Callithrix jacchus: one gene and its partners. The protein of the gene in region 2 interacts with the protein of the main gene of each other region in a pairwise test. Links are inferred from orthologs where the notes say so. Each region holds a gene or a part of one and is shown on either strand. Other genes may lie near its edges. The genes, in order: RNF8, WASL and RHOJ.

Evidence for each region.
Region 1: the proteins of WASL (region 2) and RNF8 interact in binary tests that used the Homo sapiens proteins (3 or more experiments, as listed by UniProt). The two-hybrid records come from large-scale screens. The link is inferred for Callithrix jacchus from reciprocal best matches to the Homo sapiens genes WASL and RNF8.
Region 3: the proteins of WASL (region 2) and RHOJ interact in binary tests that used the Homo sapiens proteins (3 or more experiments, as listed by UniProt). The two-hybrid records come from large-scale screens. The link is inferred for Callithrix jacchus from reciprocal best matches to the Homo sapiens genes WASL and RHOJ.

The regions. Positions count from the first base shown.
Region 1 is NC_133505.1:45,702,046-45,712,246, reverse strand, and holds part of RNF8 (E3 ubiquitin-protein ligase RNF8), read right to left. Parts: intron 3,807-10,201; coding exon 3,069-3,806; intron 1-3,068. UniProt on the Homo sapiens protein: E3 ubiquitin-protein ligase that plays a key role in DNA damage signaling via 2 distinct roles: by mediating the 'Lys-63'-linked ubiquitination of histones H2A and H2AX and promoting the recruitment of DNA repair proteins at double-strand breaks (DSBs) sites, and by catalyzing 'Lys-48'-linked ubiquitination to remove target proteins from DNA damage sites.
Region 2 is NC_133512.1:123,324,428-123,334,628, reverse strand, and holds part of WASL (actin nucleation-promoting factor WASL), read right to left. Parts: intron 10,163-10,201; coding exon 9,994-10,162; intron 8,657-9,993; coding exon 8,614-8,656; intron 7,657-8,613; coding exon 7,503-7,656; intron 5,398-7,502; coding exon 4,871-5,397; intron 1,420-4,870; coding exon 1,311-1,419; intron 1-1,310. UniProt on the Homo sapiens protein: Regulates actin polymerization by stimulating the actin-nucleating activity of the Arp2/3 complex. Involved in various processes, such as mitosis and cytokinesis, via its role in the regulation of actin polymerization.
Region 3 is NC_133509.1:97,984,752-97,995,617, reverse strand, and holds the end of RHOJ (rho-related GTP-binding protein RhoJ), read right to left. Parts: intron 6,840-10,866; coding exon 6,693-6,839; 3' UTR 4,503-6,692; downstream 1-4,502.

The DNA of each region.
Region 1 (10,201 bases), on a different chromosome or scaffold from region 2:
CAACGCTATCCCCATCAAGCTACCAATGACATTCTTCACAGAACTGGAAAAAACCACCTTAAACTTCATATGAAACCAAAAGAGAGCCCGCATAGCCAAGTCAATTCTAAGCAAAGCTGGAAGCATCATACTACTGGACTTCAAACTATACTACAAGGCCTCAGTAATCAAAACAGCATGGTACTGGTATCAAAAGAGAGATACAGACCAACGGAACAGAACAGAGGCCTTGGAGGCAACACCACACATCTACAACCATCTGATCTTTGACAAACATGACAAAAACAAGCAATGCAGAAAGGATTCTCTGTTTAACAAATGGTGTTGGGAAAACTGGCTAGCCATGTGCAGAAAGCAGAAACTGGACCCCTTCCTGACACCTTACACTAAAATTAACTCCAGATGGATGAAAGACTTAAACATAAGACCTAACACCATAAAAACCCTAGAAGAAAATCCAGGCAAAACCATTCAGGATATAGGCATAGGCAAGGATTTCATGACCAAAACACCAAAAGCATTGGCAACAAAAGCCAAAATAGACAAATGGGACCTAATCAAACTCCACAGCTTCTGCACAGCAAAAGAAACAGTCATTGGGGTGAATTGGCAACCAACAGAATGGTAAAAATTTTTTGCAATCTACCCATCTGACAAAGGGCTGATATCCAGAATCTACAAAGAACTAAAATGGATTTATAATAAAAAAACAAACAAGCCCATTCAAAAGTGGGCGACGAATATGAATGGATACTTTACAAAAGACATATATGAGGGCAACAGACATATGAAAAAATGCTCATCATCACTGGTCATTAGAGACATGCAAATCAAAACTACATTGAGATACCATCTCATGCCAGTTAGAATGGCAATCATTAAAAAATCTGGAGACAACAGATGCTGGAGAGGATGTGGAGAAATAGGAACACTTTTACACTGTTGGTGGGAGTGTAAATTAGTTCAACCATTGTGGAAGACAGTGTGGCGATTCCTCAAGGACCTAGAAATAGAAATTCCATTTGACCCAGCAATCCCATTACTGGGTATATATCCAAAGGATTATAAATCATTCTACTATAAGGACACATGCACATGAATGTTCACTGCAGCACTGTTTGCAATAGCAAAGACCTGGAACCAAGCCAAATGCCCATCGATGATAGACTAGACAGGGAAAATGTGGCACATATACACCACGGAATACTATGCAGCCATAAAAAAACGATGAGTTTGTGCCCTTTGTAGGGACATGGATGAACCTGGAAACCATCATTCACACAAGAACAGAAAATCAAACACCGCATGTTCTCACTCATAGGTGGATGTTGAACAATGAGAACAAATGGACACAGGGAGGGGAGCACCACACACTGGAGTCTGTCAGGGGGATATAGGGGAGGGACAGCAGGGGATGGGGAGGTGGGGAGAGATAGCATGGGGAGAAATGCCAGATATAGGTGAAGGGGAGGAAGGCAGGAAATCACACTGCCATGTGTGCACCTATGCAACAATCTTGCATGTTCTTCACATGTACCCAAAAACCTAAAATGCAATTAAAAAAAAAAAATTAAAAAAAAAAGTGTGAGTGAAGCAGCAAGACTTTAATGAACTTCTAAACAAGTGGTAGCGGGTAGGATAAATCCCTAGGGCTTGGTGGACAGAGGGAGATGTAGCTGATAAACAAGGGATTAGATACACTTCACTATGAGCAATAAATATATGACCTATTCATACCCAGAGAAATTCTCTAAACCAGTCCTTTTGCCTTTAACATTTTGGTACAGAAAAAGATTTTGCAGCTATACCTTGAAGCATGTCCAGAGCCGCCACAAATATTAATCAACAGTAACTTGTCCCTGAACATACTTGCCTATAGAGAGTTCTGTCCCAGTGAAGATGTGAAGGTCTACATCTAAATATGTAGACATAAACCAGCCTCTATTAATTTCAAGGACTAGTCTAGGCCGAATAAGGGAAGCAAAAAGTACCCACAAGTAAGTAGTGTATACTCTCAAAAGACCTATTTAATCCATGGCCTTTGCTAATACTACCAGTTCAAGGGGATGGCAGAGATCAGAATGACATTTATAAATTGCTCAGAAATAAGACAACACTACCCCTGGTTGTTCCTTACCCTGAGCAACCCAAACGAAAAAGCTTATTCAGTTCAATGGTGACTGGTCCGTCTGAGTTCTAAGTAAGCAATGGGGAATTTCTGACATTCAATATTACCTGAACCACTGGGTGGGAGTAAAACATGTGGTTCCTGACAGATAGGAAATGACATTTTGGGCAGGGACAGGATCTGCTCCAGCCTAAAGCTTTGTGCAAGAGCATGTCATCTAAGCAAATGAGTTAGGGATGGGAACACATTTGGTCTCACCTTTATACAGCTAAGACAGCCATTATTTTACCTTCCTATTACTGGCACTGTGGAAGGTATTTATCATTCAACCCAACAATGCAGCCACGTTGCATCTGTCCCATCACATGCTAGCTGCTCAAAACAGAAACAAAAACATTTTCTGCCTTTTTAGCCTCTTACCTCCTGGGTTAGCTACAGAGTTAACTAACCTTTCTAGTTAACAAAGTGTCAGGTACAAGGGCAAAGGAACCAGCTGACCTGTACCTGCCCTGGGACTAAGTGATCTGGCCTTGGCCCAGAGAAAAGATAGGTAAGTCAAGACAACTATTGATTTAATTGGACTATACTGTGGTTTTGTGGCATCTTGACCTTCACCTAACCTTCCCCCGAATTCATGTTGGTTCTGAGTTGCCTCAGCTTTGCATCCTGAGATGAGTTATGTCCTCGCTGGCTCTGCTGGATATTTTACCCTATCTTAGCACCCCAACTCTGGCTCCTGATCTCATCAGTGTGCAGAAACCTTAACCCTTTACTCAATCCAATTCCCTCATCTCAAAAGTTTACTGTTCCCATTCCATTTCCTGTCTTTGGTGCTCAGAATTTGGTACCTGGCCCAGAAACTGAGAGCTCTGGCCAGAGGCTCATCAAGTGCCTGCCCCACCCCTGAAGACCACTCTTGCCCTTTCCTTCCGTGTGGTACCTGAAGATGCTGTTCCTCTTCCTGGAAAGTCTTCTCTAGTTGCTCCACTCTTGCTTGCTGCTGAGCCTGCTCTGCACACAGTTGGGACTGTAAGTCCTGCAGTTCCTGCTCCATCTTCACAATTTTCTTTGAGTGCCCCTTTTGGGTCTGCTTTTTCACATTCCTAACAGCTTCTTGTTTTTCCTGCATCTGTATTTTCAGTTTCAGAATCCTGGACATGGTCACCTTAAACAGCTGTAAGGTGCTCTGAGATGCTGAAGAGTTTGAGGCTTTCTGCTTATGATGAGCCTCTGTGACTTTGGGGAAGCCAGGGTAAATGGGAGCCCCTGTGGTCTTCTTACTTGGCTCAAGGGCAGCCAACTTAGGATTCAAATTTTCAGAGGGTGTACTGGCCACTTCACCTCTCCCCTGTGATTTCACTGACTGACAAGATTCACAAGACACTTTGTTTATTTTGGATTTCAAATTTGAAGGGCCTTCGGCTCCAGGACCCTCTAATTCATCCAAACTAAATTTCCTTTTAGTTCTCAATCCCTTATTTTTTTCTATCATCTGGTCATTCTTTGGGGAAAGACAAGGATATATCGTCTCCCAGTCTTCTTCAGTAACTTCATATTCATACTCTGCATTCTCCTTATTCTCCAGAGGCACTCCAAGTTGGATGTAGTCTCCCTTATGAATGGAATAGACTCTTAAAGGTTCCAGACGCTCTCTGTTCAGCCAAACACCATTTAGACTCTGAAAAGTTAAAGAAAGAAATAAGGTTCATGATTTTCATCCTCTTAATAGAATCTCTCTCCTGCTATTGTAAAACCTTTGGCCTTTTCAGAAGGAAAACTCTTGATAACGAACTGAAAAGAAAGAGTCATAAACTACCATCCTTAGAAACAGCATTTTTCAAGCAGTGCTTTGGCTTTTTACCTATATTTCAGTCATGCTTCCACAGAGAACTGCCACGTCACAGGCAGGAATCACCCTATATTATTGGTGGTTAATTTACTCAAACACATACAATAGCATGAAAGGAAACTGAAACTGGATAGTTCCTATTGACCTAAACTGGAGGCAATGAGGCAATGTCCCAAAACTAGAAAAAACGCGATTAGTAAAGAAAGCAGTATCTAAGGGTGAGGCCCATGAAGTAGGCTCAAATACTATCTCTGGATGTGGTTCCTTAACGCACTGGTGAAAGAGCAAGCACACATAAACCAAAAGAAAAGAGAGTATTATATCCTGACTGGGGTCAAATGGCAGGTAGGATCCGACCCAATTAATACCAACAGGGGTATATAGGCAATACAGGATAGCGGTTAAGAGCTGGAGCTATGGATTCAGATGCAGGTTCACAGTCTGCATGGCGTTCGGCAATTTACTTAACCTCTCCATGCCTCAGTTTTGTCTGCAGGATAGGGATGGTACGGTACCTACCTCATACTGTTCCTGTGAGGAGTGAATAAGATAATGCATGTAAATCACTTAGCACAATAACTTACACATAAATATTTCCTGTCCAGGAGTGGTGGCTTACAGCTGTAATCTCAACACTTTAGGAGGCCGAGGTGTGCAGTAAAACCACTCGGGAAAGTTTAAAACAAAGAGGGGTGCCTGGGTTTGGCCCTCAGAGGGAGTTAATTGGTCTAAGATAGGAACTAATTATTAGTATTTTAAAAGTTACGTTTATATACAAACTGTACCAGGATACAATGACCCTTCTTAGTCAACTCAACATTTCCCCCATTCCCAGGCAACTACTTATCTGTTCTCTACCCTTTGCCAGAATGTAACACAAATGGAATCAGTGTCTCCACTTTTTTTTTTTTTTTTTTGAGACGGAGTTTCGCTCTTGTTACCCAGGCTGGAGTACAATGGCACGATCTCGGCTCACTGCAACCTCCGCTTCCTGGGTTCAGGCAATTCTCCTGCCTCAGCCTCCTGAGTAGCTGGGATTACAGGCACGCGCCACCATGCCCAGCTAATTTTTTGTATTTTTAGTAGAGATGGGGTTTCACCATGTTGACCAGGATGGTCTTGATCTGTTGACCTCGTGATCCACCCGCCTCGGCCTCCCAAAGTGCTGGGATTACAGGCTTGAGCCACCGAGCCCGGCTCAGTGTCTCCACTTTTGAGGCTTTCTACTCTCACTTAGTGTAATGCCTCTGAGATTCATCCACACTGTTGCATTACCAGCAGTTTGTTATATTTTATTGCTGAGTAATACTGAAGGAAGTACCAGTGGAGCACAGTTTATCCATTCTCTAGTTGGTTTTCTTAACAGTTTTTGATGATTATTAATAAAACCACTACAAACATTCACATACAAGTTTCTGTGAGAACATAAACTTTCATTAATCTTGGATAAATACCTAGAAATAGGATCACTAGGCCAGGCGTGGTGGCTTATGCCTGTAATCTTAGCACTTTGAGAGGCCGAGGCAGGTGGATCACTTGAGGTCAGGAGTTCGAGACCAGCCTGACCAACATGGAGAAACACTGTCTCTACTAAAAATAAAGAAATTAGCCAGATGTGGTGGTGCATGCCCATAATCTCAGCTACTTGGGAGGCTGAGGCACAACTGCTTGAACCTGGGAGGCAGAGGTTGCAATGTGCTGAGATTGCGCTATTGTACTCCAGCCTGGGCAACAAGAGCAAGACTCCATCTTAAAAGAGAGAAAAAAGAGAAAGAGAGGAAAGAAAGGAAAGGAAGAAAAAGACAAGGAAGAAAGATAGAAGCAAGGAAGGAAGGAAGAAGGAAGGAAGGGAGGGAGGGAGGGAGGGAGGGAGGAAGGAAGGAAGGAAGGAAGGAAGGAAGGAAGGAAGGAAGGAAAAAGAAAGGCGGGGGGAGAGAAAGAGAATGAATCACTGGACAAGCGTATATTTGACTCTTAGAAACCACCAGTTTTGACTAGGCACAGTGGCTCATAACTGTAATCCCAGACTTTGGGAGGCCGAGGTGGGAGGATCACGAGGTCAAGAGTTTGAGACAAGGCTGGCCAACATGGTGAAACCCTGTCTCTACTAAAAATACAAAAATTAGCTGGGCACAGTGGCAGGCGCCTGTAATCCCATCTATTCGGAAGGCTGAGGCAGGAGAATCACTTGAACCCAGGAGGCGGAGGTTTCAGTGAGCCAATATTGCGCCACTGCACTCCAGCCTGGGCAACAGAGCGAGACTCCATCTCAAAAAAATAAAAAGAAAGAAATCACCAGTTTTTCAGAGTGGAGGTGCCATTTTATATTCACACTTAAGTGTTTAGAAGTTCCAGTTATTCTGCATACTTGCCAGCACTTGGTATCATCAAGTCTTATTTTAGCAGTTATATTAAGTGTGTATCCATCAATATCTTTTTAAAAACTCTTTACTACGGCCGGGCACAGTGGCTCACGCCTGTAATCCCAGCACTTTGGGAGGTCGAGGCAGGTGAATCACTTGAGGTCAGGAGTTCAAAACCAGCCTGTCCAACATGGCGAAACCCCGTCTTTACTTAAAATACAAAGTTAGTCAGGCATGGTGGTGCTTGCCTGTAATCCCAGCTATTTGGGAGGCTGAGGCAGAAGAACTGCTTGAACCTGGGAGGCGGAGGCTGTAGTGAGCCAAGATCGTGTAACTGCACTCCAGCCTGGGCAACCAGAGCAAAACTCCATCTCAAAAAAAAAATGAAACTTTTTACTCAGGCGGAACATGCAAATGTAAAAGTGCACAAATCAACGAGATGAACAGCCACAAAATGAACATCTCAGTTTAACTGCTGTGAGGCCAAAAACAAAACAAATCCCACATTATCAGTATCCCAGAAACCCCCCTGTGCCTCCTTCTGGTCAGCAGCCACTCTGGCAATAAGGTGGCTACCAGCCAGATTTAACAGCACGTTAATTTTGCCTGTTTTTACATACTGTATAAATGGCATCATATAATATGTATTCTTTTGTCTCTGTCTTCTTTCACTCAATGTTATGTGAGACTTATCCATGTATTATAGTTCATTAATATTCACTACAGCATAGTGTTTCAATATAAGATTATTCCACAATGCATCCATTCTACTGTTGATGGACATTTGTACTGTTTCCCTGGGAGTGAAAACACTGTGTCAAGAGCTATATATATGTTCAACGTTAATAAATAATGGCAAATAATTTCCCAAAGTAGTTGTACCAATTTGCACTCCCAACAGAAGAGCAAGAGCATTCTATTGCTCCATATCCTTACCAATACCTGGCATCACTAGTCTTCAATTTTAGCCACTCTGGTGAATGTGCAGAGGTATTCCATTATGGTTTTAATTAAAATTCCCCAGCTCATTAATGAGGCCGAACAACTTTTCACTGGATACAACCTTTTGTGAAGCGCTTGTCTCTTGCTCATTTTTAAATTGGGCACATCTCTTTTTATTGCTTTGCAGTTCTGTATATACCTCAGGATAAGCCCTTCATTGACTATAAAGTATAGCAAACATCTTCCTCTCTGAGTTGGCCTTTCATTCTCTTAATGGTGTCTTTTGATGAAGGAACATTTTTACTGTACTACCATCAGTATTTTTAAAAAGTACCCCAGATGAGAGTAAAAACTGGAAACAGGGTTGATAACCACTGCTCTAGTTGCTGGAGGACCAGAAGCTGAACTATTCCACGCAGCAAAGTTTGTTCACATAAGAGTATACTCAACAGAGACTTCAACTGCCAGAGTCTGCAGAAGAACAAAGGTAGGAATAACCACACAGCAGGTGAAAAGCAACAGGAGAGGAGGGGAAGAATGAGAAAGGCTCAAATAAGACGTGACTGAACCTCTAAGGCATTTCATACTGTGACTTTAAAACAACCAAATTTTTTTTTTTTTTTTTTTTTTACTGTTTTGAATGAGTTATAAAAACAACCAATTTTCTGAAAGAGCTGGATACCAATACAAAGGACGGGCCATCTGAAGAGCTTATGAATTAACCAAAACCTACACAACTAGAACCATCTTCATACTGTGTGCAGACTTAGCTGTCCTCCAAGGTTTTTTTTTTTTCTGTATTTTAAGCCAATTTTAAACCAAAATCACATTTCTTGCTATTTTTTAAATCCATACTTAAAGTCTCACTTTCTGGCCATTCCAGCAGATGAGAGAGTGCAGCTCTGAGTTTTAACTTATTAGAAATACCTAGGTCTTGAAAGAGACTTGACAAATGACTTGAAACACAACCACAGCAATAATGTCCTACAGCTAAAATTCAGGTCCCTTATCAGCAAAAGAGGGTTGCCATGGCATCATGCCAGAAGGAAGCCAGAAAGGGAGCATCTATAGTCAATAGAAAAATGCAAGGGGTAGGGGGGATTTACTTGTAAGAATTGTTCCACCAAAATACCCCAGTCCTAGCTTCTCTTAAAAATCAGTTACCTCACAATCACAGCTAAAAGGTTTAAACAGGTTGTTAAGAAACCTCTCTTTCCTCTCTACTGCCTTACTGAGACCTGAGAAGAATCACATGGTAACAGCAGCCCTAGAAGGAAGGGTACAAAGCAAACACCGGACAGCGAGCCCGGAGCAGTCATGATCTGACCTTGCACAGGCTGCCTCTGTATTCCTGTGGTCAACATTCAAATAGCACTAAAGTTGATCAGCTGGTGGCTTCCCAACCTATAAAAATCTGCTAATCCCGTAAGTGGATCACATCTACACAGCACACAAGAAAAGGAGCAGCAGAGAACTCACCTCTATAATATTGTAATCCCAATGATCATACAGACTACTCTGATGAGGAAAACATCTTTCCCTAAGCTGTTCTGATATACACTATTACAGAGGCTTCAAAATCTTGCAGCTGTATTTCAAATTATGCATAATTAATTTTGTGTGGCATCATAAAGCCAGTATAGCAAATTGCTTATGTACTTTACTGGTATTTGACACAGGGCATGGCAGAGAAACTTAAGTCCTGGCTCATTAGAGAGAAGGCCTTGAGCAAGACAGTTTATCTCTCTGGGCCTCAGATTCATCTGTCTACATAAGGGGTTAAACTAGATAATCTCAGTACCAATTTTTATCCTGCTCACAGTGCCTTGCTAACTAAAAGTGCTGAACCAATTTACTCGGCATTTATATACTGTCTCCTTCAATACAGTGCCAACTCAACTTAATGCCAGAGCAGGAAGATACTTTCCAGCAGCTTAAGTCGAGCAGTTTTATGCATGCAAAATGAGGCTGCCGGGCAGATCTGGAATATCCTCCCTTCTAATGGTACCTTTAAAATCCTAACCAGGGCAGTGAAGCAGTATGAAATGGTACTTAAGGACATTTTATACTCCCTAAGTCTTAACTGTTTACATTAGAATTTCTCTCACCTCATAGTCTGTGTTTTCATTACATTCCTGGGTGCTTGTATATCTGCACTTTAGGCATTCTTTTTTTTCTTTTTGATACAGACATGGCCTCACCATGTCAGCCACACTGGAGTGCAGTGGCTATTCACAGGTGCAATCCCAATGCTAACCAGCACAGCAGTTTTGACCTGCCCTGCTACCAACCTGGGTCAGTTTACCTCTGCTTAAGCAACCTGGTGGTCCCCACTCTCAGGACGACACTATATTGATGCCAAACTTAATGCAGGCACCAGAACAGCATAGCGCATTATAACCGAGAACTCATGGTCTCAAACAATCCTGCGGCCTCAGCTTTCCCAGTAGCTAGGACTAGAGGCATGCGCCGCCACAACCGGCGCATTAGGTACTTTGTAATTGCTGGGCTCTGAGTACTATTACACCTCCCTCAATATATTTACCACTACACTTGTGGTTTTCAAATTTGTTTAAAGGAGAAAAACCCGCTATTCAAAGGAAATCTTCAGAACACCAATATTTAAAACATGTTTTAAAAGGCAAGGGAAGGGAAGGTTGCTCAGATTGAAAGGAGTGAGGTGATTTGCAGTAGCTTTGAAGGAAAAAAATGGAAAAAAAAAAGTGAGGAAGGAAAGGAGCTAAGCAGTCAGATCAGTTTCTTCTCCGCCTGTTCACTGAGCCGTAGTGTACTCCAGAAGCTTCAGGAGATTCTACAGATTTCCAGGATCTCTGGAGCTTCGCCTCAAACAGGCTAATTTGCCCAGTAACTTAGTCTAGTTTCTGGAATAGGACCTCCTACCCCAATTCAGGCATTATC
Region 2 (10,201 bases):
CTTGTATTTCAGTCCTTACTACTCTTTCCCTCCCTCCCTTGCAAGCTTCTTGATCTCTTCATTGTATCTCAGCCTCTCAGACTTTATATTTGCTGTTCTTTCCATTGGATACACTTTCCCCGGTTTTCTACATGGTTCACTTCCTGAACTTCTAGTCTTTCAAATGTCACCTCAGTTAGGCTTTATCGTCCCATTTCAAAATGAACTTCCCTCTCAACAGTCTGTAACTCATTTCCCTTTTCTATTAGACTTTTGTCCTTAGTTCATGTCACCACTTAACATACTGTATGTTTTTCTAGTTTGCTTTGTTTATTGCTTGTCTCTCTCTCATTAGACCTAATGCACGTCCATGAAGGCAGAGATTTCTGTTGTTTTGTTAAAGTTTATTATTATTCCACAGTAAATATTTATCTCCATTTCTGTAATGCAGGATAGAAACAAATATGCCTATTCAAGGAAAACACACATTGCTCAAGGGTCTAGACATGCACATCCTTACAGAGAAACAAAGAAAAGGAAGACAACATTTAGTGAGCACCTACTATGTGCTAGGCAATCTGCTGATTAGTGACATACTATTTAATTCTCACATCTATCATGTGCTTTGTGAATTCTCTCAATGTAACAAATGAGAAACTGAGGCTCACAGAGATTAAATAAATCTAGTAAGATCTGACTCTAGCACATCATGTTGGAAAAGCTATTTTGCAAACCGCAAACACTCCAATCAGCAAAGCCCATATCCTTGTTCTTTCTTTAAAGCAATATTCATTTCTATGATGGTATGTGTATGTTTAGTAATAACCTCAAAATAGGTACTGGTTTATTCAAATAACCGTTTAGAAAATGATAAAGGTTTAAGAAAAGTTAGTATTCTTTAGCAAACTCTAGAAACAGTGAAAATTATAAATTCTTAGCTCTAATCCTCACAGATGAGGTAAAGCGCCTGAATTTTTTATGTCATAGTAATATCACAGGAATGAAATCTAAAAATCTCAAATTCTGTTTAGCAGTGGTTTGGTAGAAAGTTTTTGAGCATTTCCTGATACAGGAAACAAAAGTGTCAATTTTCCCAAAGCTATTCTTTCAATTTATGGCTATGGCTGTGTCAAGTTTCAGACAGACTAGTCAAAGAGGCAACAACTTTTAAGATACACCCTAGACTCCACATCAGTAGTTACTCTATTAGCAGAAAGCTAGCAAAGACAGTCATAAAATTAAAAAAAAAATTGAACTTCAAACATTTGAATTTATTAAATACACATGTGCACACACACACTCTCTCTCTCTCTCTCTCTCTCTCTCTCTACCTGAAGAATGAATGGCTTTGCTCCTTTTCTGCATCACTTCCATTAATGCACCCACAATTCCTGAAGTGGGTGCAGGTGTTGGTGGTGTAGACTCTTGGCCATCAGACACCTTGGAAAATAAAGTTAGCAAAACTCAGTAATAAATCTTCGGCAAAGAATCTTTGTCTCCAGAAAGTCTTACTTTCTTAGAATCACTTTTTATCGTAAAAGACAAAAAGATATCAAACTAGCAAGCCCAGGACAAGATTAATTAAATTAACAAGAAACAAACTGCTGCCTTAAAGATATTCTTCAAAAATATTTCCTTTGCATCTTAATGTATAAGCCAACAATGCATTTCCAAATCTATGTTTATATTTAGATAACAAACCATTTCCTGAATAATACTTGCTGGGTTACCTCTGTTTATTACAGCACATAAAGACTTAGATGATCAACTTTAAAGCTATTATCAAGGGAATTCATTTTAGAGAGGGTACTATTTATTTAGACTCCAGAGTTATTATGTAGAAAGAACACTAGAGATACTGAAAAACAACTGTAGAAACTTATGTTTGCCTACAAAAAAATCAGCTTTATACCTTTACGTTATACTTATACCTTCAAAATGAACCTCTTTTCTCATAGTATGTAATTCCTTTTTAGGAGATGAATTGAACAGCTTTCAAAATATATCTGCCTCACTAGGCAACTAACGGTCCCTAACTTACTGTGCCAAAGTACATTCAAGAAAAAAGAATTATTACAGATGAAACAGCAGAGCTGTAACTAAATGATTATCTATGTTTTATATGTTTTTATATATATTAAAAATTTTTTATATATATTTGAAATTCTTAATCATTTCTCAAAGACAATTCAACTTTTCATTTTGATCTGTACAACTCTTCCTCGAATACTCCTTGTTCTTTTTGGACTAAACACCTTTTTTTAAAAAAATTCAAAGTGGCTCCCCCTAAGATACAGATTCTCTATACTTAGTATTTTGGCTTTAAAGACTATGTATTAACTATTTCTCATACAGAAGTACCACAAATGAAAAAGATAACAGTTCAGAGTTTTGTATTTCTGCACAAGGCTCTTGAAGCACAACAGCAATAGGGACATTTAGACTACCTTTAAGCAATGGGATAATGTAAAGCAAATAGCACACATCAGAGGTGAGCACACTCTAATCAAACATATTTTTTGAAGTACTTACTTGAACAAGGTACTATTTGAGGTCTGAAACCAGGGAATTTAAAACATATGTGAGTACTTTATACTTCCTACTAGCTCTTTAATCTATGTTTTATGTTAATCATATTCATCACAGAATAAATTGATGACTTACTTAAAGAAAACATAGCCACATAAATTTCAACCACAAAATGATCTTTATAAAAAAATAATTATGAACTCAGATTACATGTATATCATGCCAATAGTTCACTGATTATGCACTCTATGGTTGCATTAAATGCAATCAAAAGGAAAGTGATTATTTAGGATAAAAACGGCCCCCTATCCAATATGTAGAATAGAAAATATTTTTCTTTCTAAAAGATATTAACAGGTTTTTTTGGGGGGAAAGAAAGCAAGCTTTGGGATTGGAGAAAGTAAATAGAAAATTTAACCTTAACTTTTCAAAGTAAGTGAAGATACAACTTTATTCATTAAAAATTTTAAATCACCTTATTATAGCTAAATGAGCGAAAGAAACAAAAGTTGGTTATAAAAAGGAAACAGAAAAGGGAAAACAAAAAGTGGGAGACATAGGAATGAGAGTGACATAGGAACTAGCACAGATTCCAAGGTAAAAGCTGGGCTGTGGTCATTTTTTTTTTTTTTTTTGAGACTGAGTCTTACTCTGTCACCCAGGTTGGAGTGCAGTGGCATGATCTTGGCTCACTGCAACCTCCACCTCCCGGGTTCAAGCGATTCTCTTGCCTCAGCCTCCCAAGTAGGTGGGACTACATGCATGTGCTACCATGCCCAGCTAATTTTTTGTATTTTTAGTAGGGATGGGGTTTCACCATGTTAGCCAGGGTGGTCTTGATCTCCTGACCTTGTGATAGGCCCGCCTCAGCCTCCCAAAGTGCTGGGATTACAGGCATAAGCCACCGGACCCAGCTGGCTGTGGTCACTTTGACATTAATTCTCCCCACTAACCACTCTTTAAAGTTCATCAACTGCTTCTGAGAGACCTTTAGTCTGATCAAAATGGGGAAAGAGAACAGAGATGATTGTTTATAGATTTATTTAACTGTCATCCTGAATACATGCAAAGAAAAGATCTAAATATATTTTAAAGATCAGAGTCTTCTTAAATCTATGCTAATGTTTACATGTTTTCGTTCAATTAGTGTGTTTCCTATCTATCACTCTCCTTTTAGACAAAGCTTCTTAGATCTAGAAAGTTACCTTAATCCCTACACTGGAAAATAATTTTCTATTAAAACGTCCTCTGTCGTCTCTGTTTACTTCACAGAAAAGTCTATCGTCCATGACCTGCCTGAAGTCCTGGAGAACAGTTATAAAAGACTCCAAAGTAAGTATGTAAATGTAGACAGGTTAGGCTATGGGATGGGACGGAGTCAGCAAACTGGAGCCCATGGGACAAATCCAGCCTGTTCTTTGACTTTTTTTTTTTTAACAATCTAAAAACTAAGATTGAATTTACATTTTAAAATGGTTCAAAGAAAATAAAAAGAGTACTTTTTATATGTGAAAGTTATATAAAATTCAAATTTCAGTATCCAAATACAGTTTTATAGAACACAAGCATGTCCATTCATTTAGGTACTGGCTGTAATGCTTCTGTAGTAAAAAGGCAGAGTGGTCATGACAAGAGGCCATATTGTCTATATAAACCTAAAGTTTTACTACCTGATCCTTTACAGAAAAATGTTTGCTGAACTCTAGAAGATTAAATGACCTGTAAAATTAAATGGTTATCTCATCCAAATCAGATAATCCTAAATTTATTTGCCATCACTGTCAGAAATTCTACTAAAACTCTTTCAATTTTTGTGAGTCTGATTCTCTACTAATCTAAATTTTAGAACATGAAAACTTCAGAACATGATCACTAGTTTAGGTTTCCTAAAGTGATTGCAACTGGTTTCAAGTAGGGCTATTTTTAATTCTCAGAGCTTAATAAGGATTTTTCATTAAAGTACCTTTTATTAGAAAGTAAAGTCTAGAACAATGAATTGCAAACATACAATAAAATTCCATTTTTATGAAGTTCCAGAATAGGAAAAACTAATCTATATTTAGATCGGTGATTGTTTATGGAAAAATTAACTGAGAAGAGGCATGAGAAAACCTTCTGGGGTGATAGAAATGTCCTATATTTGGATTTAGAGATATGGCTTACATGGTTATAGAGATGTATCAAAGCTGAACTAAAAATTTATGCATGTTATTGCATGTAAAAATATTTTCAAATTTATAGTGATAAGAATAAATTAGCAAGAGAAAAATAAAGTATAAACTTTCAAAAATGTCTTTCAATAAACTACTTTAAAATTCCATTATCACAGATGATCTTAAAAAAAAAAAAAAAGCTTACTTACAGACTTTAGTTGGATACCCTGTCGTATCTGGTCTAACAGTGCATCTCGTCCAGAGCAGGACACTGGCCGACTGTTCTGCTCCACTTTTTTTAGCTGAGCACCCTCTCTAATTTGATCTAAAAGAGCTGCTTTGTTTCCTGCAGTAGTTGGAACCTGATGGTCCCCGTCAGAAGACAGACCAAGGCCAGCGAGGGGCGGTGGCCCAGGCGGAGGTGGAGGTGGAGGTGGTGGGGGTGGTGCCACTGGCCCTACCCCCAACACAGATGGAGGTGGTGGTGGAGGCCCTGAAGGTGCTGAGGAGGGAAGGGCTGGAGGTGGAGGAGGGTACATCCTATTTGGTGGTGGTGGAGGGACTGCTACACTTGGCCTGGAAGGAGGCGGTGGTGGAGGTGCAGCTGTGGGAGCTCTTGAAGGTGGTGGAGGAGGAGCGCCTCTTCCCCTGGCAGGAGGAGGAGGAGGACCTGAGTTGTGTGGAGGGGGAGGGGGAGGCGGTGGCCCTCCCCTTGATGGTGGTGGCGGTGGTGGAGCTGAAATGCAAACAGAAAAAAAGAAGACATGTATTTTTCTTCTCTCAAAAACCACACTGAAAAGCAATTCATTTTTAACATGTATAAAAACCAAATAATATCATAAAAGGGCCTCATCTTCACATTTTATTTTACAAAGATACCTGAGCACAGATGATCTCACAATTTCGTTTGAGAATTGTCAGCCTAAAGATCACTTTCTTATTGTTGCTTAAAAATAATATGAGCTAAAACAGAACAGTTTACTTTTTAGGAATCAGTATTAGTTCTGAAGGAGAATAAACACTTTCTACTTTACAAACTTACAATGAAAATACACCAATGAAATTAAACATTTTGTTAATCAGCATTATTTTGCATTTTAATAAAAATAAATGAATACCACCCTCTTTAAAAAGAATCAAGTACACTTAGTTTTTATTAAATAAAATCAATTCATTTAGAATTACATAGTGTAGCATAACTTAATAGCATTCATTCACATTAATCTGAGCTAAAGCCCAAATATAATACTTTTCTTTCAAAATGTAAGCGTTTGTCATCTAATTTACATTTGTACTTTTATAGTATAATGTCTAAAAATAGTCTGCAATTCTAGTAATGGCACTATGGGAGGCTGGTTGCTTGGCTGAAATGCTTAATTGCTTATTCAAGAGACATGAACAGATAATTAACAAATTAACTGAGAATTTCTATATACTGCAAAATTAAAGTTATCAACAAAAATTACTATTATTCTAGTAGTAATGATATTAGCATTCTTAGCCTACATAAGTGGAAATGTTAAGATAGAATAGGAAAACAAACTTGGCTGAGTGTGGTGGCTCATGGCTGTAATCCCAGTACTTTGGGAGGCCAAAGCAGGAGGATCACTTGAGACCAAGACTTTGAGACCAGCCTGGCAAACCGGGCAAAACTCTGTTTCTATTAAAAATATAATAATTAGTGGGGTGTGTGGTAGTGCATGTACCTATAATACCAGATACTTAGGTGCTGAAGCGTGAGAATCACCTGAAACCAGGAGGTGGCGGTTACAGTGAGCCAAGATGGCACAACTGTACTCCAGCCTGGATGACAGAGCAAGACGGTGTCTCCAAAGAAAAAAAAAAAAAACACCACAGTATTTGGAGATAGATTTTTTGCAAAGTAAATTAGCATCATGCTAGTTTCAGTGGAACTAGCACTGTGTTTCCACAATACCAATTACGATCTTATGCTCATTTACGTATTGGTTTCCATATGAGACTCTTAAGATTTTTTATGACAGAAACCTTATCTTTACATCTAAATATCCTGAGACCAGTACTGGCATAATAATGTTTACAAAATATATGAGTCAATCAATGAATCAAAGATTAAATGAACATTGGCAGGGAAAAAGACACAAGTAAACCAAATGCCTAATTTAAAATGAGTTAAGTTTTTTAGAAGAATGTTTTAACTAGAGCTTTTACTCAACTACAGTATTGTGAGTATGCAAAAAGAAGAAAAGAAAGCAGTCCTAAATGAATAAGGTAGGAAAAAGATGACTGTTATATTGGAAAATTTAGAGTATTTTATCTGCATTTTACTGTGATAATTATTAAGACAAAACTAAAACGTAAGGTACTTCAAAAGATATCAAATCTTAAAAGGTTGTAAATTGTGCTCTCAGATACACAAGAAAATTTTATACTTTATCCAAGAAAAAGAATTTGTATTTCAAAATTAATATTTATATTATTTATATTCTGAAAATGTTTATATTACTAATTAGAAAGTAATTATATTTAAATTACTACTTCTGAATTACAATGAAATCTGGTGGTTTACAGTATTCCTTAAGTAAAACATTTAGGCAACTGTAAGTTTTTACTTTAAAATAGAAAAGCTGGAAGATTTTGTATGGATTTTTATAAGTACTTAATAAGCAAAACCTTACAAATTTTTTTAGTTTTAATAAAATAATGTTAAGATATAGTATGATGGGCCAAATCAGTTTTTCATAAACTTAAACATTCTGCTCAAGGAAGGGTTCATATATATATGAATGTACCTGTTTTCCATGAAACCAACCTCAAAAGATTAAAACAAAACCAAACAGAATGCTGATAGAAATATGTTACCTTGCCTTCGTAGTTCATTTTTAACAGCTTCAACGCCTCCTGTTTTTTCAATAAAGTCATATATAACTTTTGATGTTTCTCTGTCTTTAAGTTGTGCCTCTGAGATTCCACACATATCGAAAAGATTCTTCAATTCTGGATCCAAATTATTCAACTACAAAAGAAGATAACTGCTAACTATAAAAATATATCTCAATTTAAAAAAAAAACCTAATTTTAAGGCTCATCTGTGTCCTTATGAAATTATTTTACCTTTATAAACTTTTAACATGATTACTTACATGCTAACTAAAAGATCTTATTTAAAAAAACTGAACAGATAGATTTCCTATTTTGTTCTTTTTTGTTCCTCGCCTTCAAAAAAAAGGCATGTCATTTAGATTTCTATTAGTCTATTCATAATTCAGACATCTCCAATGCTCATCTATTCTACCTTGTCCTAAGTATGTAAAATTAGGAATAAACACAAAAAAAGTAAATTAATTAGAAAATCTGAGAGCAAGGATCTTCCTGTAATTCCAAGCATCTTGCACAATGCCCAGCACAAAGAGGTGCTCAGTATGTTTGTAGAGTTAACATTGTAGCTATAACAAAAATAACCAAGAGGATTTTTTACTCCAATCACAAAACAAATTTCTCTTTAAAATAATTTATCCAAACTGATTAATTTTTGCCAGCAGTTTCACAGCTCTATAAAGCAATGGCAAAACTGCCAAAAAGAATAGGAGAATGAAAAAAATCTAGGTAATTCAACAACTGAATACTCAGAATTTGATTGTACTCCTTTCTAGCAATTTGGCATACATTCCCCTGAAATTATTACTTAGCAGAAATGATTTTCTTCTCTTGGCTTTCAAAGCACAAGGATTTTATTTATACAGTGTATAAAGCCAAGGTACACAAAACCTTGGTCCAAGTCTTTATAGAGACTTAGCCATGAATGACATAACAATAATATGGGTTTAAACCTCAGTTGTATATATACACAAAACACACGCACATTCAAATAGATACTAGAAAACCCCAAAACGAATAATAAAAATAAAAATCTAGGCCAATATAGCTCCATATATTTAGAGTTATAATGTATATGACTTGAAAACATACTTACATCAAAGCCTGTATTTGGATCCCAACCAACATGTCCAATGTGCCTAAAGTAGAAAATAGAAAAAAATAGAAAACTAAATTCACAAAGGGCATTATAAACACAATATATATGAAATTCAATCTATATTTGGCTTTGAAGTTTTGGCCTGAACTAATAGTTCTCACAAACATAACCATATTATGATAAAAACTATTATATACAAAAAGTCAGAAGAACAGGATTCTAGCCCTGACTCTGCTACTAATTGAAACTTAAAAATTTTTTTTTTTTTTTGGAGACAGAGTTTCCCTCTTGTTACCCAGGCTGGAGTGCAATAGCGTGATCTCGGCGCACCGAAACCTCCGCCTCCTGGGTTCAAGCAATTCTCCTGCCTCAGCCTCCCAAGTAGCTGAGACTACAGGCGCGCACCACCATGCCCAGCTAATTTTTGTATTTTTAGTAGAGATGGGGTTTCACCTTGTTGACCCGGATGGTCTTGATCTCTTAACCTTGTGATCCACCCGCCTCGGCCTCCCAAAGTGCTGGGATTATAGGCGTGAGCCACCGCGCCCAGCCTGAAACTTAAAATTTTTGTACAGTCTCTCTGAGCATCTATTTCCTTAACTGTCAAATTAGCACAAGAGTCCAAGCATTACATATATGAGAGGATAGGGGTTTCATAATGAGCGAATAAAATAATGCATATTGAACTTCTTGAAATATATTATATAAATACCAGAGGTTTTTACTGCTCCTAGGCAGTATCAGTAGACAATTTCTAAGTGCTATTTATAGAGCAAAGTGAGAAATCATTTTTATGTCCAACAATTAGCTGAAGAAACAACTTCATCTAATTTTTCTTTTCTGATAGTTGAAAAAGTAAATAAACTGTAAGGTACAAAGAACGTCTATTGAGTAACTGCCTTAAAACACATACACACAAAAACGCTAACCAAGTGCATAGCTAAAAAGGTATTCAAGGCCGGGTGCAGTGGCTCACGCCTGTAATCCCAGCACTTTGGGAGGTTGAGGTGAGTGGATCACGAGGTCAAGAGATCGAGACCATCCTGGTCAACATGGTGAAACCCCGTCTCTACTAAAAATACAAAAAAAAAAAAATTAGCTGGGCATGGTGGCGCACACCTGCAATCCCAGCTACTCGGGGGGAGGCTGAGGCAGGAGAATTGTCTGAACCCAGGAGGCGGAGGTTGCGGTGAGCCGAGATTGCGCCACTGCACTCCAGCCTGGGTAAAAAGAGCGAGACTCCGTCTCAAAAAAAAAAAAGCTATTCAAGTGTTAAATGTACGTCCCCTCCCAAAAGGAAAAGAAAATCTTTTAACAAGTTAAAAATCAAGAGCAGCAATGAATAAATCAGAAGAGAAAACAAAAGAACTGTCTTACTGGAAATTGCTTGGTGTTCCTATATCTGCCTTGGTTAATCTCTTCTTTTTAGCTTTTCCTTTCTTCTTTTCTTTGGTATGGGAGATGTTGTTAACTTGTGAACCATAAAATCTATTTGTTGTGATTTCCGGATTTTTTATGTCAACTGTAGCCATGGGTAGATTAGGACCTGCAAATAAAACCAAAATAATATGAAAGTGATATAATT
Region 3 (10,866 bases), on a different chromosome or scaffold from region 2:
TCTTGTACACAGGATAGGGTGTGGGCAGGGAGAACAAAGCCTGGTCCCCAGTGGTGGTGGTAAAAATATGTTGAGGAAGTGAATAAAACTCTGGTCCGTGCTTAAGGCAGTAACAATACAAGTCTTTGGCATGAGTCTGTGTCCTGTTTAGAGGACAAGTTGTTTGTAATCAACTCATATTCTGTCATCTAGAGCTCCGTGTTTTAAGCAACGAAGACAGAAACTTCACCAAAAGTTTTATGTCTCAGAAATGTGTTTTATCTTTATTTCATGAGTTTTTAAAACTTCATGGGCTATGAATCTTTCTTATGACTTCATGGAAAATAATTTTGGGGGGAGCTTTTTTTCCCTCACCCTAATAAACACAAAAAAAGCTTTCAGAACAGAAGGACTTTAGATCTAGCAGATCTTTCAAACCAGATGCTGCTTTTCTGCTTTTGATTCTAAAATATGCATATTCCTTTCCTGCAGCTGGGCAGCACATGACAAGCAAAAGAAGAGACGTCTGACAGCCCTTTTATTCATCCAGTAAAAGTGAGCAACTCAAATATTAGCCTAAGGAATACTCAAAAGGTAGCATCTGAGACACAGGCTAAGTTGATGGTTCTTCATTAGGCGCTATATGTTTGGATGTAAAGACTGATGATGAATTTTGTTATCTTAGAGACCAGTGCTTCCCCTATTTCACTGTGTATACAGATCATTTGGGGTCCTGTTAAAATGCAGATTCTGACTGGGTCTGAAATTCCATGGTCCTTGCTAGCTCCCAGGTAATGCTGAGGCTGCTGATTCCTGAGTCACATTTTGAGTCACAAGGGGCTGGACAATTTCTTGTTCTAACAGAGGCCTGGGGAAGGCAATTTTCTGGAATGGCAGATGGAGATACCCTCAGATTACGCAGAAATATGAATAGAAAAAACATGATTTAATGACTTAATAGTCAGAACATGGCACAAAATAAATTGTAATGTTAAAGAATGCATAAAATAATATTCCATTAATGACACAGGCAGACAGAATGGCCATTACATAAGATGCAGATTGTAAGAACGCCGTCCCGTGAGCAGGTCAGCCTGCTTCCCTTGATGATCATTTCCTCTGCAGAGATTACATTGGGAGAAACATGACTGTTGCAATTGGGATGAAATTCTGCTGAAATGTACTTCAGCAGTAATTACTGTTTACTCAGAGCAGAAAACAATTTAAACCAGGTGATGAGAAGGATGTAGAATTCATTAGCTTTCTTGCCCATAGCTCCTCTAGGAGAAAAGAATCTGATTGCTTGAAAAAAATTGATTTAAAAAATGGCAAATGGAGGTAATTTTAGATATGTGTTCACAAAGCAGCCCCAAACATACTGCCCTATTCAGAAGTTGTTTCTATTTTTTTCCCCCCAAAGAACTAACATAAGCTCAAAAGATTGACTTGCATGGAGGCAGTGGGAGGCTAAGTGTGCTAAGGTTGCTTCAAGGCATGACTCAGGTGTGGGCCCTGGGGACCCTCTCCTTGTAGAGCCTTAGACATCATTTTCCCTGTAACACTGATCAGATTCTGTTCGGCAGATACCCCTACATATACTGGGAGGCTTCGAGGACATGGCTAAAAATACAACATTACTCTAGTTATAGTATCATGGAGCTTCTGAGTCACTGAAGAACTCACAGAACAAAATGAAAGTATCAAAGCAGAACATACTTAAAACACACGCACACACTGAAGCAACCCTCGTTTTTTGACATAATATCCTCTAAGGAGAAAAAAATAGATTGTGTCCAAGATGAATGGTGCAGATTTTACTCTAATTTCCTGTAGTGAAATTTCAAAGCCAAGAACTATTGTTGAACTTGGAGCTCACCATTTCTCAGAGCAGCCAAGCCCCTTTGACTCATTCCTCCCCTAATCCGAGGAGATCTCCAAAATAGCCTGGCTGAGCTTCGGAGGGCTAACGTGCTGCTGAGTAGAACATGTGCTGTAATGTCCTTTCTGGTCTTTGTCGACTGTTGCGCCACCATGAACTGTTGCTTTATCTTGTATTTTCTTTTTTTTTTTACTATGGTTGTACATTTTAAGTACAATTTTTTTCTAATTAGAAATATCTCACTGAAGATGAATTAATATTATTTATACAAGTAACTATCCTTCCAACTATCCCCAAATCATCCTCTTCATGTTCCTGCTCAATGAGACTTTCAAAATCATTTATTCACTCATATTACTTGGCAAGTTTTCCTTGACTGCCTGCTGTGTATGTATAAGCAGAGAAAGGGAGAGGGTGATGTCCTTCATTGCTATTAAAGACCCAAAAGGCTTTGCCCAAGATTCCACTTGCTTTTTAGTGAATTCTGAGGTGGAATTACTCAGGATTATCACATGGTTAGCCCCGTTGACCGACTCTGCTTGGATACCCAGAACCTCGGAGTGTTCTTCACACTAACAGTCCTTTCTTCCCTGTGCTTCTAGGGGCCAGGCAGAAGTTCCCAACTTCCCGGAACAACTGTCAGCTGTGTGGTTGGGCTGTGTTTGGTTTTAGCTTCCTCTCCATTCTCTAAACATTTTCTTTTTCAAAGTGCCTCACTTCCTTCGTTAGAAACTAAGTTTCCCTGTCCTTCTCTTTTCCTTTCTGTTTCTAATGGTCCTTGAAATGAAAACAGTTTGTTGAGTTTCCCTATTTGTACTTGGACAGCCTACTCAATGACTCCTGGGAGAATACTAGCTGGTGACCTGTGGCGCTCTCTGTTGAGAGAATGTGCAGTTTGCATTTTGGCAGCTAGACATAGAGATGGATTTAAAAACGAACGTGTAAGTAGCTGGATAATACTTTCCAGCATGATGTCAACATTTCTTTAAAGCAGAGCCTCAATTTCTAATCTTCTATCACTTTGGCCTCAAGGATGAGTTTGCCTTTATGAATGTAAAACGGCAATCTTGAAAGCCTTACCTCAAGTCAAATATTTCTTCTTGAAGATGTTCTACTTTGGAAGGTAGTGTTCACAGGAACTTGACCCTAAATAATGACATTTTTTTGTTGGCTTCAAATTCTGGATTTAGTTTTATTTTCTCCTAAAATTGTGAGTATAGTTGTGATTGCTTTTTTACTACCATGTAATACTATTTCCTTCCTGGGGGTCCTGTGCAAATTGTGTATGGTCACATCCACTTCATTTAGTACTTCTCTTATGAACTAGAAATCATCCAAATGGCTCTTTGCACATCCTGATTGGACGTATTCTCACTGAAGTCTCAGGACCAACTCCCACGCCTTGTCGTATGTCTATGACTTAGTTTTGGACTTCCTGGCTTAGTGCTTTCTGGTGTAGGGTTGCTGTAGTTACTGTCTTCAGCAATTGCTCTTTTTTCTTTCTTTTATCCATTACTTCTTTTATGTCGAAATTTCCCCACGTGACCAAGTAATTATTCTTTGTAACTTTCCTTGGCAGAAATCAGCCGGGATTTCTTACTGTGGACGTGGCTTTGTGGACTTGTGTCCTAGTCCTTTTGTGTTCCCCAAATAGCCCAAGGAGTCCATTCATTCTACCAAACAACCAACCATTTGAGTGAAATCAATATGTGTAACTAGCTACCTGATTGAGCCATTATTAGATGGGGGCTAAATTGCCGTACACTGTGGATTTCCAGTATCTTAGTGTGTAGGTCAGATTCTCCAGTGTATTACCAGTTTGATGGATTACTTTATTTTTAGTGGCCTAACTACATGAAGTTTTGAGTTTAAAATGTGGCTAAAATCTACAGGATAAACAGCCGCAACTCCAATAACATGGCAACAGAACTCTAGCTTAATATGTGTGATAACGAATACACTGTAGTATTGAGTTGAAGAGCACTGTATGAAGCAGAAGAACTGGGATCCGTCCCAGCACTGCTACAACACACCTCTTTTTACCCATCTAGGCCTGACTTTCTCAATGGTGCAATGAGGAATTGAACTATAGTTTCTGAGGCCTTGTCTAGCTCTGAAAAGTTAGGACTCTACTTTCAAATGGATATCAGCTGCCACTTCTTGACTTCGGAAGATGGTGTGGGCCATTAAAGGATCCTTCTTCAAATTTCTATGTCTCTCCTTATCTTTGGTCTCAGAAGACAGCTTAATCTTGTAGCAGAAAACACTTTTTAGTGAAACAAACTGGATCTTGCCGTGGAACAAGGAATAACTAATTGATTTGGCAGAATAACATTAACTCGTTTAAATTGCTTTGTTCTAGAGTGTTTTATTCAGTGATTAGCTCCTAAGACCCCTAGGAGCCTGTGCTCCATGCAGACAGTAACAACAGTCTCTATCCAGTTGCTGGTTCTAGGTGAGAGAGTGATCTCGCCATCATGATCAAGTTACTTTCTGTGGCCCGTTAGGGAAGTGGTGACCTGGGGAGCTATTTGCCTGTTTGGTGCATATACCTGGAAGCACACTGCCCTCAATTTTTCACCCACATCAATGAGAAATTAGTGGCCCGTTAGCAAGATGTAACTATGCAATCATGCAACAAAACTGCCTAATAACATTTCATTTATTACAGGACTAAAAGCTCATTATTGTTTGTAAAGGATGAATTCATAACCTCTGCAGAGTTATAGTTTATACACAGTTGATTTCCATTTATAAAGGCAGAAAGTCCTTGTTTTCTCCAAATGTCAAGCTTTGACTTAAAACTCCCATTTTCTAGTCAGCGGAGTGTGTGTGTATGAAAGAAAATGTTTAGCAATTAGATGGGAAAGAAGGGAAATAGTTCTTAAATTGTAGGGTTTTTTTTTTTTTGGAGACAGGTTCTTGCTCTGTCACCCAGACTGGAGTGCAGTGGCACAGTCATGGCTTACTGCAGCCTTACCTTCTGGGCTCAAATGATCCTTCCACCTCAGCCTCCTGAGTAGCTGGGACTACAGGTGTGTGTCACCACACCTGGATATTTTATAGAGACACAGAGTCTCACTATATTACCCAGGCTGGTCTTGAACTCCTGAGCTCAAGCTATCCACTCACCTCAGCCTCCCAAGGTATTGGAATTAGAGGCATGAGCCACTGTGCCTGGCTAGCATGTAATTCTCATGTGCTTACTCCAGTAGCAGAAGAGATTAGAAAGACTGGCTTTTTCCAACAGTGGGAGCTTGAATCTGGAAAGTCTTAAACTAAAATTGTTGTAATTTCATACCACTAAGAAGCACTTTGCTCATGCAATTGAAAAAAAATTAAGTGCCTACTTGGGTGATTTCAGGGCACTTATAAGCAACTAAGACTAATTAGAAGCCCTCATAGCCTCTAATGACAAGGTAGGAAGTAATTGGCTCTATGATACAAAAATTCCTAGATGTTTCGAATTGTTTCACATAATTGGGCACAGGATTCCTTACTGGGAGCTTTTGCTTTCCCAGGGCCACGTCCCTGTTCTATGTCACACATTGTGGAGGGCAGGGGACAAATGGATATGGAGCTTGGTATCCACGGATATGGCTCCCTAACAGACATTTGGGAGGATGAGTAAGGAAAGAGAGAGGCAATATCTCAGTACCAGTTGTAACTGGAAAATGTCATTTACATGGAATGAAATGAGAACTTACATGAGGCAAGCTGAGAAGCACTTTTGGTTGAAGCAAATAGAAAAATTAAGGCACTTTCCTTAACCTTTAGGTGCTATTAAACATGTGTTTTTATGCTCAGATCTTTCTTTTATAACTGAGTTACAATTGGAGAGAACACAAGGATCTGGGCATGAGAAAAAGTGAAATCAAGGGAGGAAGAAGGCATGCAATGGGGAAAGGGAGGAGCAGGAACGTCCACTTTACTGAATAAACAGTACTGTAAAAGATGGATCCTGCATATTCTTCCCCCAATCAACTTGGATGAAAACCAGAAATACTACATTCTTAAACACAGTTCATTTTTAGTTTGTCATGGCAATATAATATGGAAAAAAGTCAGACCACTAATAAGCATTTTCAGAGTGCATCTTTGGCAAAAATGTGGACCTGCAACAATTCAGATGGCTTTTTTCAATCCAGTTCAAAAATCATGGCTCTGTAAATTTCCAGAAGTTTTAAAGTCTTCTCATGTCTTCTTATAATCAGGCATTCAGAGGTATGTGTTGGTTCTCATAGCTTTGGTAGAAACATGCTGAAAATAGAAATGAATATAAAACGCCTTGTCTTTAGGCTGATTTGGTATGGATTTGTAAGGCCTGAGTAAACTGGAAATTAGTACATTTCTTGAAATAATACAAATGAATGTGAGACATGTGGGTAGAACAGATTCAGAAAAAAAAAAAATGGTTAGCGTTATAGTCCCAAGTTTTGTAAAAGACATCAAGTAAGACCACCGATAGAGGAACCAAGTTTGTTTTTCTGGTTCCCTGGGGTGGTTTCCTATCAGCTTCACATTCATGAGCGGGGAGATGGAAAATGTAAGAAGGCCTTTGGCTTTGTTTTTGACACGGTCAGCAGTGGCGCTGTCTGCAATCCAGGCCCAGCATTCTCGGAGAGTGTGCAGTACGGATGCTTCTGGCTGGCAGGGAGGTCGTGGCAGTGGGCTGACGAGTGTGGTGTTGGGAGGGCTCCCAGGGTGGCGGAGCAGTCCTCCGTGCAAAGGGAATTCCTTTCTGGTCATGCCCTCCTTTTTGGCTGGAGCTTGGCCGCAGAGATTGGCTGCCATTCTCACCCCTGGATGGGGTGGAGGCAGGTCTCAGACAACCTCAGATAATTGAACAGCAGCTGTGACCCTTAGAACAGCGTTTCTTCTTTTTCTTGGGGTGGAAAATGGTGAGGATGGCTTCATCAAAAACGGCTTTGAGACCTTTCTGAGTCAGAGCTGAGCATTCCAAGTAGCACTGTGCTCCGATCTTAAACAGAAAAGAGAGAGAAGCATGAGAGGAAAAACAGAGAGAAAAGCATGGTGGTATCAACCCACCGCCCAGACAAGCACTTACTTCTGCCTGTCCTACAAACAGCCTGTGGGTGGTTTGGATTATGTTTGTCTTTTTTTTTTTTTGCATTTCAATTTGTACCTGTCATCCTATTTTATTGTATTTTTGTATTTTTACATTCCTTTATTAGCAATAAATGGTTGTGGATCACTTCTGGAAAGCAGTGAGTCATGAAATTGATCCCTAGCCATTTATTCCTAATAATATAAAAAATAAGAGGATCTAAAAAATTAGGAGAGAATTCAAAACCGATGATATAATTTCAATATGTTTTGTGAAGAACAGGGCTGCATGATCTTGTTTTTCATATTCTCTCATTTGTAGGCAGAACATGTAAATCATGTACAAGTGAAATATATCTCCTTTGGTGTGATAAAAGGCAAAGTGTCAGCTTGGTTGATAGAGCGGCTACAAAGAGAGCGAGTGATAATAGTTTTATAGGTCATTCTTGATTTAACTGTACCTCTTTAAAGGTATCCCTCAATAAACTAATATCTAATTGGCATTATTATTTAGTTTTAACATACTTTATTTATTTATTTATTTATTTATTTTTGAGATGGAGTTCCACTCTTGTCGCCCAGGCTGGAGTGCAGTGGCACCATCTCGGCTCACTGCAACCTCCACCTCCTGGGTTCAAGGGATTTTCCCGCCTCAGCTTCCCGAGTAGCTGGGATTACAGGCATGCAGCACCACGCTGGGTTAGTATTTGTATTTGTAGTAGAGATGGGGTTTTCCCATGTTGGCCAGGCTGGTCTCGAACTCCTGACCTCAGCTGATCCGCCTGCCTCAGCCTTTCAAAGTGCTGGGATTATAGGCATAAGCCACCACGCTCAGCCTTAACATACTTTAAAAGGCATAGTTTTTAAAAGGTTATAAAAACCCAATAAAACATGTAACGATAACAATAAAACATAACAATAATCATAAATACATTTACTGCCAAAGGCATCCTTCTTGTCAGTGTACAGTCTATATGTTTAAATGATAAAGTATTTCATACTTGCACAGAACTTCATTTTCAATATTTGGATGATTTTATACTATGGTGTGTTTAATAATCACAAACACCTCCTGAGAAATACAAAAGTTCAGGTTAGAACTATAGATTCTCATCTAAAAATCACAGACCAGTACAGACCATATTTGTAGTCAGCTTCTTGTGCAGGAGACCTGAGGTTTTAATTGTTCATAAGCTCAGGAAGAGGCAACAATGTGAGGTTGGCCTTTTACTATTAAGGACACCTGGAGAAATGACTTTATTTTTTGATTTACATTTGAAGAAAAACTTTGAAAAATTAAAGCAGATTCAGCAGAGGTTGGCTAAATGGTGAGTTCCCAGAAAGCACAGCAGACAAATGGCTAAAACAAGGTAGCAAAATCACAGACCTATCCTGTCCACTAGCTTATGTAAATGATAAAGTGGGGCTGGTGCAAGAGAATATATAGAGGTGGGGACTACGGTGGGTTGTTGCACGCACACCCCCTCTAGAGTGTGCAGCCTTACTTAGCTTCCAAGTGGTAATGTTGGTTCACTGTTGCCCATTTTTGTATTTTTCAAGAGGAGTTCGAAATTTGGATTTTTAAATTTAATATTTACCAATTTATAAAATATTTACCATGAGCCAAGGAAGACGTGATGTGGGATGTATTCGGCAGCAGCCAGCCAGTTTGCAATGTGTGGACTAAATATGCTTGTGCTTCACCTTAGAATGGAGTGGGAATAACCCCAGAGAGGTAAAATGAATTGCTTATGGGCACAACCAGAAAGTGAAAGAAACAGACCTAGAATCTGGGTCTCTTGATACATGTTCTTTTCCTTGCTCCGTGACAGTAACTGTGACCCCTATCACTCAGCTCTGCAAGAAGCTGGTCTAGTTGACAGTTGATGAAATGAGGTTGTCTACTTATTTCAAAGGCCACAGATACGAAAACTAAGCATCAAATAGAGTTGTTTTGGTTGGGCCCAGAGACTATTTCCTAACCTCTCTGACAGAGATTATGCACTTTACATTTTTTTTCTGACCAGAGTGGTTACTGTATTAAATGCCAAAAGAAAAGATGTTGTATGTTGAAAATCTATTTTACGGCTTTCATTTTGACCATGGTTTGGTTTCCAGATTAGGAAATAACTTTTAAAAATAATTAAAACCAGTTAGGTACAAGAGAAGAATAAAGGGCAGAGAAAAATTTCCTAATAACATGATGAAATGCATTCTGTTGCGTTTTGGGATTGTGTTCAATGCTTGATTCAAACACACATGAAAAGCATGCTCATCTAAGTGACTCCAACTTGACTGTAATGTGGTGGCACTTGTCAGTCATGCTGAAAAAATACCTAGAAAGTGCTGTGGCACCTTTCTGTCTGGAATACCTCTCCACTAAGGATCCCAAGCCTAGGATTGATTCTGCCTGGAATTCCAGGACAGCTGGGCTGAGCTCGTTCACACCTGGAGTCCCGCAGGAGAAGCAGGGCACTCCCCACTCTCCTCCCCACAGAGTGCTCCTGACAGCATGCCAGGCTTTGCCTTTCGATGGAGCAGGAGTAGCCCAAACTTGTCTCTTCTAATTCAGACATTTCTGAAGACAATAAAATAGCAGATAAAGGCATTATTGTCTAACTGGGTTAATATAACATTATGTTGTGCTGATAGAAAAAGTAGTCATCGGGTTATGGTTGTGATTTGGGAAACGTGTGAAGAAACAGAACCGAGTTATGAGGTAGGTATTGTTACCATGTGTCGAGTTCTCTAAGGGTCAGAGAAGAATTCATCCTGGTTCAGGGAAAAAGCAGAGCCAGATTGCTAAAAAAATTTTCTGTGCCCTCAAAGATGTGAAATGAAAAATGGTCTCAAGGAAATGTGGCGACCTACACAGTCAAGTATTTAGAAGCCATCTGGGAGGGTTCAGGATTCGAGGCTCCTCGTTCAGATACACATGCAAGCAATCTGGAAAGTGTTCTACCCAAATGACTTATTTTCAAGAAACAAGTAGAGATTGAGGATATAAACGGAAAAAAACACTTTTTTGATTGTTTTATAATAGCTAACACTTATTATCTCAAAAGGAGGGAAATTTATCAGTGATGTACAGAAGATACAAGAGTCTGATGAGAAATTAAAAAAAAACAAACATAATGACTAATCAAGTAAAAGAAAACTTAGTACTTCTTCCGTATTGTTCCACTGGGGGCCAGGACAAGTTATAGAATAAGACAGAAAGTAACTGGAAGGGATCTAGGCAAAGAGATCTTCCTAGCTGTAGCCATGTCTGAGAGGGCTCATGGATTTGACACCAACTGTAGTTTGCTGAGCTGGACCTAGTGGTACATGAGCTAATTTCATTGTCACAAGAACTGTGCAAGGAAAAGTCTATCACCATCTTCATTTCACAGCTCAGGAAACTGATGCCCAGGGAGGCTAAGTAACCCCTGTTATGGCCACCCCACTAAGAAAATGGCAGAGATTAGAATTTGTCTGCCTCCTGAGCCAAAGTCTTAACTACTCTTTTGGGCTGTCTCTAGCCAACGTTAAGAAATTGTGGCTGAAAGAGCAAAATCAATGAACACAAGGGCGAAGTTGTCATGGATATAGTAAGCTATTAAAAGTTTCTGTTGATGAGGAAATGCTGGCCTAGAGTTGCTCGACCTTCTGAATTTTTTTAGAAGCTAGAAACGTGTTTCCAAACTGTTAAATGCAGGCCACTAAATTGCATAAAAAATATCTGTTTGGGCCAGCTGTGGTGGCTCACACCTGTAATTCCAGCACTTTGGGAGGCTGAGGCAGGTGGATTACCTGAGGTCGGGAGTTCGAGACCAACCTGACCGACATGGAGAAACCCCATCTTTACTAAAAATACAAAATCAGCCAGGCATGGTGGTGCATGCCTATGATCCCAGTTACTCGTGAGGCTGAGGCAGGAGACTCCCTTGAATCCAGGAGGT